2 linked regions of the Arabidopsis thaliana genome follow. The protein of the gene in region 1 interacts with the protein of each later gene in a pairwise test. Each region holds a gene or a part of one and is shown on either strand. Other genes may lie near its edges. The genes, in order: GSTU22 and AT3G17410.

Region 1 (3,676 bases):
CTATCATCATCTTCATCATCAGAGGACAAAGGATCTGGAATCTTGTCTTCATCCCATATATCATCTACCCTGTCATTGTCACTAGCTTCTTCTTCTCCATTAGCCTCTGGAAAATCTCTTTCCATGTCTAAGTTACCATCTTCTTCGACACCTAATCCAGCAGTATCATCTTCTTCTCTATTAGTATCTACTGCATCATCAACCTCATCGCAGTCTTCATCTCCTTGGACTGCACAGTCATCGTCTTCATCAAGAGCAGGAACTTCAGCCTCTAAATCCTCCTCTTCTTCATCTCTGATTCTCCTTCGTTTACTTCGTCTAAGTGGAGCACGAACTTCGACTGCATCTGTCACATCAACGCCTGATTCTTGAGCTTCATCGTGAGCTTCCTCTTCTCCGCCACAAGACGTTTCACCTAAAGCTTCCTCTTCCTCTTGTCCAATTTCACGACGAGTTGATTCTTCAACTGCAACATCAGCTTCCTCTTCCAATCTATTTTGCCTTCGTTTACTTCGCCTAAGTGGAGAACAAACTGCGGTTGCATCTGCCACATCAACGGACTGACCTCGAGCTTCTTCTCCAATTTGATTTGCTTCTCCTTCCGGCATTGGTTCAACTGCATCGTGAGCTTCTTCTTCCAATCTGATTTGCCTTCGTTTACTTCGCCTAAGTGGAGAACGAACTTCGGCCACATTTGCCACATCAACATTTGATACTACATTCGCTTGACCTCGAGCTTTTTCTCCAATTCGATCTGCTTCTCTTTCCGGCGTTGGTTTAGCTGCATCTTGTGCTCCGTCTTCTCCGCCACAAGACTCAGATACCACATTCGTTTCACCCCCAACTTCTTCTCCAATTTCATCTCTTTCTCCTCGCGGTGGTGCTTCAACTCCATCTCCCACCAAATTCTCTGATTCGTGAAGCATTGGAGATCCAATCCTCATAACGACGCCATTCTTTCTAACTAATGGCATTTCAGAAAACGAATTGAAGCAATTAGGGTTTCGATTTTGATTTTGGGGGCAGGATTAGGTTTCGATTTGGGTTTAGGGTAATTGATTTTGTTTTGAGAATTTCTATTCTCGATTTTGATTTCTCTTTAGCACGAAAACGAGGTCGTAAGACTATAATAACAGATGCTTAACGGATTAAAACGGCTGTCAATTACGCTGTTAGAAGGAGTTTTAACGGTGGTTAATTAGACCGAGTCAACGCAAACTTGAAAGTTTAAAACAGAAGTCAACTTTTTGTTGAGAGTTAAAACGGCCATTTCTCGAGTTCACGGTTACTTTGGCCATTTTTTGTAAATTGAAGTATTAAATAACATTTTTTCTAATTAAACTTAATAAACTACTTAAGAAAAATGGGAAAATAATAATTGGAACCGACTTTAATTTCACAATGACTCTTTTGCCCTTCCATCGTTGACGACATTGTTTCTCCTTCTCTCTTCCACCCATTTAAAAACGCAAACTTGGAAAATGGAGAACTGTTTAACTACGCCAACGGGCTGTTTTAATGACAAATGTTAGACTGGGCTCAGTAACGGATGTTGTTTCTTGTCACTAAAGAATACGATTCATAGATTTAAAAGTAATCCATTTACTTTGCTTTTACTTTTTCATGTGAAGAGAAACAAAAAAAAGTTTTGTTGGTGATCAAGTTTGTAGTGTACTAGTAAAATAGTACCATAGTATGTGTGTGTGTGATGTGGAAACAAAAGAATATATAGAAAATTTTATGTTTTGGGTTTCATGTATTTTCTTTTAACATAAAAACAAGAACAGATAAGCATAATGACGTAAGCAGTGGCCTAAGCATCTCTTAAAACTCCATTTAAAAAAACATATCGAATTGAATAACATTGAGTTGACTTGTTTAACATTCACACCTTGCTTGCTACGGTATCTTAGCTTCCAAGATTCAATTAATTTTTCATTTTTTATGTTCACAGTCAATAGTAATAAGACATCAGCATCGCATACAAATTTCTTATATAACTCGACTAGTTTACTCTATAAAGAATCAGCGATTGGAGTATAGAAAAGGTTTAAGCAAAATCCATCAAAGAAGAGTTCCTTTTCACAATAATGGCGGATGAAGTGATACTTTTGGATTTTTGGCCGAGTCCATTCGGAGTAAGAGCGAGAATCGCGCTGAGAGAGAAAGGAGTTGAGTTTGAGTACAGAGAAGAGAATCTGAGAGACAAGAGCCCTTTGCTTCTCCAGATGAATCCGGTTCACAAGAAGATTCCGGTTCTCATCCACAATGGTAAACCGGTTTGTGAATCCATGAACGTTGTTCAGTACATCGACGAGGTTTGGTCCGACAAAAACCCAATCCTTCCTTCTGATCCTTACCAGAGAGCTCAAGCCAGATTTTGGGTTGATTTCGTGGACACCAAGGTACCCAATCCAAAATCTCTGTTTAGGTTTTTTTTTTTTTTTTTGTAGACTGATAATTGAAAATATTTTTGGGCTTGATCTGTGAAATGGTGCAGCTGTTTGAGCCAGCGGATAAGATTTGGCAAACGAAAGGAGAGGAACAAGAGACAGCCAAGAAAGAGTATATAGAAGCACTCAAGATTCTTGAAACTGAGCTTGGAGACAAACCTTACTTTGGTGGAGATACCTTCGGGTTCGTAGACATTGCCATGACTGGATATTACAGCTGGTTCGAAGCATCAGAGAAACTAGCTAACTTCAGCATCGAACCAGAGTGTCCCACACTGATGGCTTCGGCTAAGAGGTGTTTGCAGAGAGAAAGCGTGGTTCAGTCCCTTCATGATTCTGAGAAAATCCTTGCGTTTGCCTATAAGATTAGGAAGATATACTGTGTCTAAAAGTCTTATTGATTCTTTGAACGAAAAAAAAAGTCTTAGAATTTCATCTCACGTTACGTTTCTATGTTCACTGATTTCTATATGATTTTGTTGTACCTTTCTTTCTATTTTCACCAAATAATATTTGTTTCTTGTCACTCAAGAATATTTGTTCACAAGCTAAATGTTTTTAATCGCTAACGACTAATGCTAGATCCAAAATTTAGTTAATTTCATATCCAATCAATTAAAAAATTTAAAAAACAAACATAAGAAAAAGAAATTTTTTAAAGAAATCCAAAAAAGAAACAAAATCAAAATTTTAAAAACTATTTTTAAAAATCGGAATAAAAAACTTGAATCCGAGTCCTTGGGCTCTTGAACTGAATTCAACTACAGTGGAATGGATGGTACCTACATAATAATAGGAAAAACAAGTTGAATGTTTGGAATCGCTAACGACTAATGCTGGATCCAAAATCCGGTTAGATTTCATACCATTATGTAAATTTAGTATTCAAAAAAAAAACATAAGAAAAAGCTTTTAAAAATCCGAAAAGGAAAATAATCAAAGTTTTAAAAACTATTTTTGAAAATCCTAATTAAAAACTTGAATGCTAAATCTACATAATAGTAGAAAAAACAAGTTGAATATTTGGAATCGCTAACGACTAATGCTGGATCCAAAATCCGGTTAGATTTCATACCATTATGTAAATTTAGTAACCAAAAAAATAAAAATAAAAATCAAAAATATATATTTTAAAAGCTATTAAAAATTTAAGAAGGGATAGAAATTGACCTGTTTCTTAATGGGTAGGTGAATGGGCTTTTTGTTGGGCTGAATATGAGAAT
Region 2 (5,971 bases), on another chromosome or scaffold:
AAGTGGTGGATAAAGAGCTTGAGATCAAACCAACAACAAGCGAACTTAAACGAGCACTTTTGACAGCTTTAAGATGCGTTGATCCTGATGCAGACAAGAGGCCAAAGATGAGTCAAGTGGCTCGAATGCTTGAATCTGATGAATACCCTGTGATGCCTAGAGAGGTAGTCATAATGACAAACAATGCAGAAATAAACTGATTTTCTTCTGTGGAAACTAGAATGTTCATAATTGGTTTGATGAATGTTTTGATCAGGAACGAAGAAGAAGGAGAAATCAGAACGCAGAGACGCATAGAGAAAGCACAGACACGAATAAAGATAATGATATAACAACAGATGCAAAGATTTGAGCAAGAAACAGAAACATGGACCCTCCTTTATGACTTAAGGGTTAAAAACAAGGAAAACTTTTAGATTCTTTGGAGATTGTTTAGATTCTTTACTGTGTCTATAAGTTAATTATGTGATATATATAGATACAGAGAAGAACAAGACTTGTTTCTTTTGTCTGGAGAAGGAGAGATTTGTTGCACATTTTATTACCTTCATACAGAGTCAGTTACAGACATATTTTACAAGATAAATTTTATTTGGATCCTTAAAGATTTTTTCCCAATAATTCCTTTAGTGATTAAGATGCATTCAAGATCGAAAAGAGTTGAGCTTGTACAGACAGACGCACAAACAGAGTATTGGTATATCTTTACCTCGCATATCGTAGCATTAGTAGAGACTTGCATCACATTCACATGCATGAAATAATATAGAAATACAGTAACATTCAGGTCTTTCCAAGTAAGATTTTCAGTGAAGTGGCAGGGGGTTTATGAGAGAATAAACGCCTATTTCACAAATTTACACAAATCGGATTCAAACAAAAACAAATGAAATAGTGATGATCATAAAGGGTGATATCAGACTAGAGCATATCAATACGGGTTCCTGTGTGGAGTCTGGGGAGCAGAACGAGGAGGATTGAGCAACGGCTGAAGAGCCTTCACCACTATGCTCATGTTAGGCCTGAAGTCTGCCTCATATTGCACACACAGTGCAGCTACCGCAGCCAGCTGATCACAATGAGTCATAAGAGAAAACCAAAATCAGACTCGAGGTTTTGGGTTGCAAATCTAGGCATATCATAGGGAACAACACATCAAGAGGGAATCAAATCAAATTCATTTTTGTTTTTTCAACCAGGCAGACAAGTTTTAGCTGTTGTAGTTGATTGCGGGGTGCAACGGATGGAGAAGTAGTCAAATCCTAAGGTAAACCTTTTCTACTGCAACAGTGAGAAGTATGACAAAGTTTTGGGGGAAATTACCTTAGCAACAGCTTTGGGAGGATATTCTCCGTTTAGTCTTGCGTCAACACACTGCTTCACCTTGTCTTCACTCAATTTAGGGGTTGCCTGAGACAAACAAAAGCGTTATCATTGACTACTGGTTTTTGTCTATAGGGAAAGTTCAGAGTCTCTAATATCTCACAAGTAAGCAGAGTTTGCTTCAGAAAGGCTTCACGTACAGAAACCCACCTTTATCCAGGAAAATTTCTTTCTTAAAAAAACAATTGGCACTTGGTTTTTCTTATTTAATAAATTCTAGTTTAAGAAATTTCTTTCTAGAAAAGAATTGACTACACCAAATCAATGATTTCTATAGATGCAAAGAGGTGTTGCGAAGTTGCTAGAGGATTTTTTTGGTCATTCTCCTAATTGACTGAATAAATCATGTATTTTCTAAGATTTTCTTATAAATATGAGTCAACCAGAAGAAGAAGCAGAGACCGATGTATTACCCATGTCACGACACTCTGCTGTCCACGTGGTAAGGTATGATCAACTGGTTTACGACCTGTGAGGAGCTCCAGCAGAACAACGCCAAAACTATAGACATCACTCTTTGTGCTCAACGTCCCCGTCATTGCATACCTAAATTGCAGAACCAAATATGTTTAAGAATCTAGTTTGGTCAATGGGAAGAAATGCAAGACATACAGAAGTGTAAATGTATGAAAATATGATTATCAAAGCTTAGTCCAAGTGAAGGACTTAGTGCATCAGAACATTAGATAATGATAACAAAAGATTCTCAGCACGACTTGAGTGTAAACAAATCAAAATATCACTGTTCCAGATAAATGATATCTCTAAAGGAGCTTACTCTGGAGCGTGATAGCCAAAGGTTCCGAGCACACGGGTTGAGTGAAGGCGAGCAGCCATGTCAGGGGCTTGGTTGGACAAATCAAAATCAGCAATCTTGGCAACATCATCATCGAACAGAAGTACATTGCTGGATTTGATGTCTCTGTGGATAACATGAGGGTTTGCCTTCTCATGCAAGTACTCGAGTCCTCTAGCCGCACCAACAGCAATTTTGACTCTCTGGTGCCACGACAGAACAGGACCTGGCTGTGCCCCTTTAACACCTTTTCGACCTGCACCAGTGAATTCACCACAGTTCATTAGTTTCTCCTCTGAAGATCTTGGAAAAATGGTATTGATCTTCCTTCGATGTTTTACATTAGTAACTTACCATGAAGAATATCATGAAGAGATCCATTAGGAGCATATTCATAAGCAAGAACACGGAGTGGGCCATCAACACAATAGCCCAGAAGCGCAACAACATTTTCTTGTCGCAATCTCGAAACCATTGATACCTGTTAAAGTTGGTCATGTCAGTAACAAAGCCAAATACGACAAAACAACCACAACAGAGTGACTTCGTGCAGAACTATCAGAGCATAGGAAGTATAAGGTCTAGGCCCAACAAGACTGCAATAATATACTCTATAGCATCTACCTGGGCGAGAAATTCTTGATCTGGTTGCTTACTAGAATCCAGTTTCTTAATGGCAGCTGCTTTACCACTTTTAAGAATACCATAAAAGACTCTTCCATATGAACCCTCACCAATCAAGGACTTTGAACCATAGTTATCCGTTATATCCCTCAATTCATCAGCTGGAATGGCCGCAACAGAGATAGGCTGCATCTGAATGACTGGAAGGTTTTTGGGTGGATCTGCCCTTTGATGGTGACCTCCATTGTAACCTTAAGAACAATTAATAAAGTTCATTAACTTAGCCACCAAAAGAGAAATACTGATATGGGGTAAACTAAGCTACCTCCAGTGTTATGCACTGGCTTTGGTCCAGTTTCAGAAACTCTACGGAAATCCTCACCACCACCACAACAACCAAAGCAGCCCATTACGCTTCTCTCTCACACGAAACTGTATCAGTATATTCATAACGCAAAAACGTCAGTAATGGTGTTGCAGAACAAGACTTTATAACATACGAAAATTTAGAAGTAACTAATTTCTTCCCCAAATGAAATAGAGCAAACTGTACAAACTTATAGAGAAATGCTCGACGAAAGTTTCTAATTATAGGGTTTAAGCAGAACAAAAAAGGAAACAGATTTTTTTTCACAAAAAACAAATTTTTGTATCAGAAGAGTAAAATCCTTCATCTACATGATGATGAAGTTTCATTACGAGAGCATAATTCGATAAAAATCGAGACACTAAGAAATGATACATTTGGTGACCTAGACTTATCACAAGTCAACGATCGTAACCCCTAAAATGGATTTCAAACTGAAATAACTATCAATAAACTCCGAAAAATCCGTTAACACAATCTAATCGGCATGAAATCGAACCCTAGAAACAAATTTTACAGATAAATACGGGGAAAGACCCAAAAAAGAGAAATTTAAGCGAGTTGGTAAGAAGAAGAAGAAGAAGATAGCGAATTACCTCTTCCAAAAGGATAATTAGAGAATCTCAAAAAGAGGAAAAGAAGATTCGAATTCTCCGATGATAAAAGAAGCAGAAGAAGGAGAAGGTTTCTATCTATCTTGGTTCGTGTAGGGTTGGTGAAGAAACGCAGACTTTTCTTCCCGGCGGAAATTTACAGTAAATGATATATAGGGTGCGCTTAGGCGCATGTTAGCAATTTGTCTACTCTTTATAGTACGCCTTTATCAATCAACTTGAAGTTATTTTACTTGGTCGTGTTTTGAGGTCAAAGGTCTTAATCCACTTATTAATTAGCCATTTGATTGGTTGTATATAAAATTTTTTGAATTTCCCGTAACAAAATATATGTACTAATACATAGGTAACTATTTCAATAAGAAAAATGTGTTCGATAAAAATTTTCAGATAAGTCCATATTTTGTAGTGGGTAAAAGTATCCTTCTTTGTGCATTTGGTATTTTTAAGCATGTAATAAGAAAAACCAAAATAGACGGCTGGTATTTAATAAAAGGAGACTAATGTATGTATAGTATATGATTTGTGTGGAATATAATAAAGTTGTAAAATATAGATGTGAAGCGAGTATCTATCTTTTGACTTTCAAAGGTGATCGATCGTGTTCTTTGTGATAGTTTTGGTCGTCGGTCTACAAGTCAACAACCACCTTGAAGTTTTCGCGTCTCGGTTTCCTCTTCGCATCTGGTATCCAATAGCATACATATACCAGTGCGGAAAATGGCGAAGACTAGTGGGCTTGAACCATAAGGTTTGGCCCCAATACGGATTCCAAACAACAAGCCTAGCGCAGTCTTTTGGGATGCATAAGACTAAACTGTCGCAGTGATAGACGTAAGATATATCGACTTGATTGGAATCGTCTAAGCTAATAAGTTTACCTTGACCGTTTATAGTTGCGTCAACGTCCTTATGGAGATTGATGCCCATCAAATAAACCTGAAAATCCATCACCATGACCACCATAAACTCCCTTGCTGCCGCTGCTTTGGCTTGAGCAAGGTGTTTCCTTGTAAAGCTCCGATCTTTGGATAAAGTGTTCCACTTTTTGCAAGTAGCTCTGACCCCTCTCAGAGATGTCACCGGAATCTTAGACAGAACCTCCTCTGCCAAATCACTTGGAAGATCGGACAATGTCATCATTTTTGCAGGTAATTTCTCCTTCGTTGCTGCTTTGGCTTGAGCACGGTGCTTCTTTGTAAAGCTCCGATCTTTGGATAAGAGCGGATCGGAATCCTCTAGGAGGTGCCAGTCCCTTGACCTATTAATTTATAGAAGGTTTTAGTGTATTTTGTTCCAATTTCTTCTCTAACTTAACAAATAACAACTGCCTCATAGTCATGGGCTTCAAATTTTATCGCTTGGTGTATTTCGTTATTTGCAAGGCCTTGGCCCATTTTGAGCCCAATAACTAAATCTAGCCTTTTCAGACCGGACATGAACTTCGCATATTGGCGTAACTGTGCAGTTTTACCTTTTTCGGATCAGACAAGATCAGATTTAGACCACCCAACAATAGTCAGTCATATTTGACAACCTAAGCTAGCCGACACTACTAAAAAGCAAACAAAAGAAGAATTCTATGTTGTCATTTTACCGGTGGCAAGTGGACCCTTCTATAAAAGAGTAAAGAGACAGCCTGTGTGTGTATAATCTCTAATTATGTTCACCGACACAATCACACAAACCCTTCTCTAATCACACAACTTCTTCATGATTTACGACATTAATTATCATTAACTCTTTAAATTCACTTTACATGCTCAAAAATATCTAATTTGCAGCATTAATTTGAGTACCGATAACTATTATTATAATCGTCGTGATTCGCAATCTTCTTCATTAGATGCTGTCAAGTTGTACTCGCACGCGGTGGTCCAGTGAAGCAAATCCAACGGTTTAAAACCTTCTTACATTTCTAGATCTAATCTGAACCGTCAGATATCTAGATCTCATTGTCTGAACACAGTTAGATGAAACTGGGAATGAATCTGGACGAAATTACGATCTTACACCAACCCCCTCGACGAGCTCGTATATATAAAGCTTATACGCTCCTCCTTCACCTTCGTACTACTACTACCACCACATTTCTTTAGCTCAACCTTCATTACTAATCTCCTTTTAAGGTATGTTCACTTTTCTTCGATTCATACTTTCTCAAGATTCCTGCATTTCTGTAGAATT

What was found.
Region 2: the proteins of GSTU22 (region 1) and AT3G17410 interact in a two-hybrid assay, tested with the Arabidopsis thaliana proteins (one large-scale study listed by BioGRID).

Annotation. Positions count from the first base shown.
Region 1 is NC_003070.9:29,472,212-29,475,887, reverse strand, and holds GSTU22 (glutathione S-transferase TAU 22), read left to right. Parts: upstream 1-1,884; 5' UTR 1,885-2,090; coding exon 2,091-2,405; intron 2,406-2,500; coding exon 2,501-2,842; 3' UTR 2,843-3,043; downstream 3,044-3,676. UniProt on the Arabidopsis thaliana protein: May be involved in the conjugation of reduced glutathione to a wide number of exogenous and endogenous hydrophobic electrophiles and have a detoxification role against certain herbicides.
Region 2 is NC_003074.8:5,953,843-5,959,813, reverse strand, and holds AT3G17410 (Protein kinase superfamily protein), read right to left. Parts: upstream 3,953-5,971; 5' UTR 3,767-3,952; intron 3,671-3,766; exon of another isoform or gene 3,236-3,670; 5' UTR 3,214-3,235; coding exon 3,129-3,213; intron 3,055-3,128; coding exon 2,804-3,054; intron 2,661-2,803; coding exon 2,534-2,660; intron 2,436-2,533; coding exon 2,162-2,435; intron 1,930-2,161; coding exon 1,797-1,929; intron 1,411-1,796; coding exon 1,324-1,410; intron 1,070-1,323; coding exon 932-1,069; 3' UTR 600-931; downstream 1-599. Other genes in the region: GPK1 (glyoxysomal protein kinase 1), read left to right, coding at 1-164, 257-352; AT3G17400 (F-box family protein), read right to left, coding at 4,370-4,927.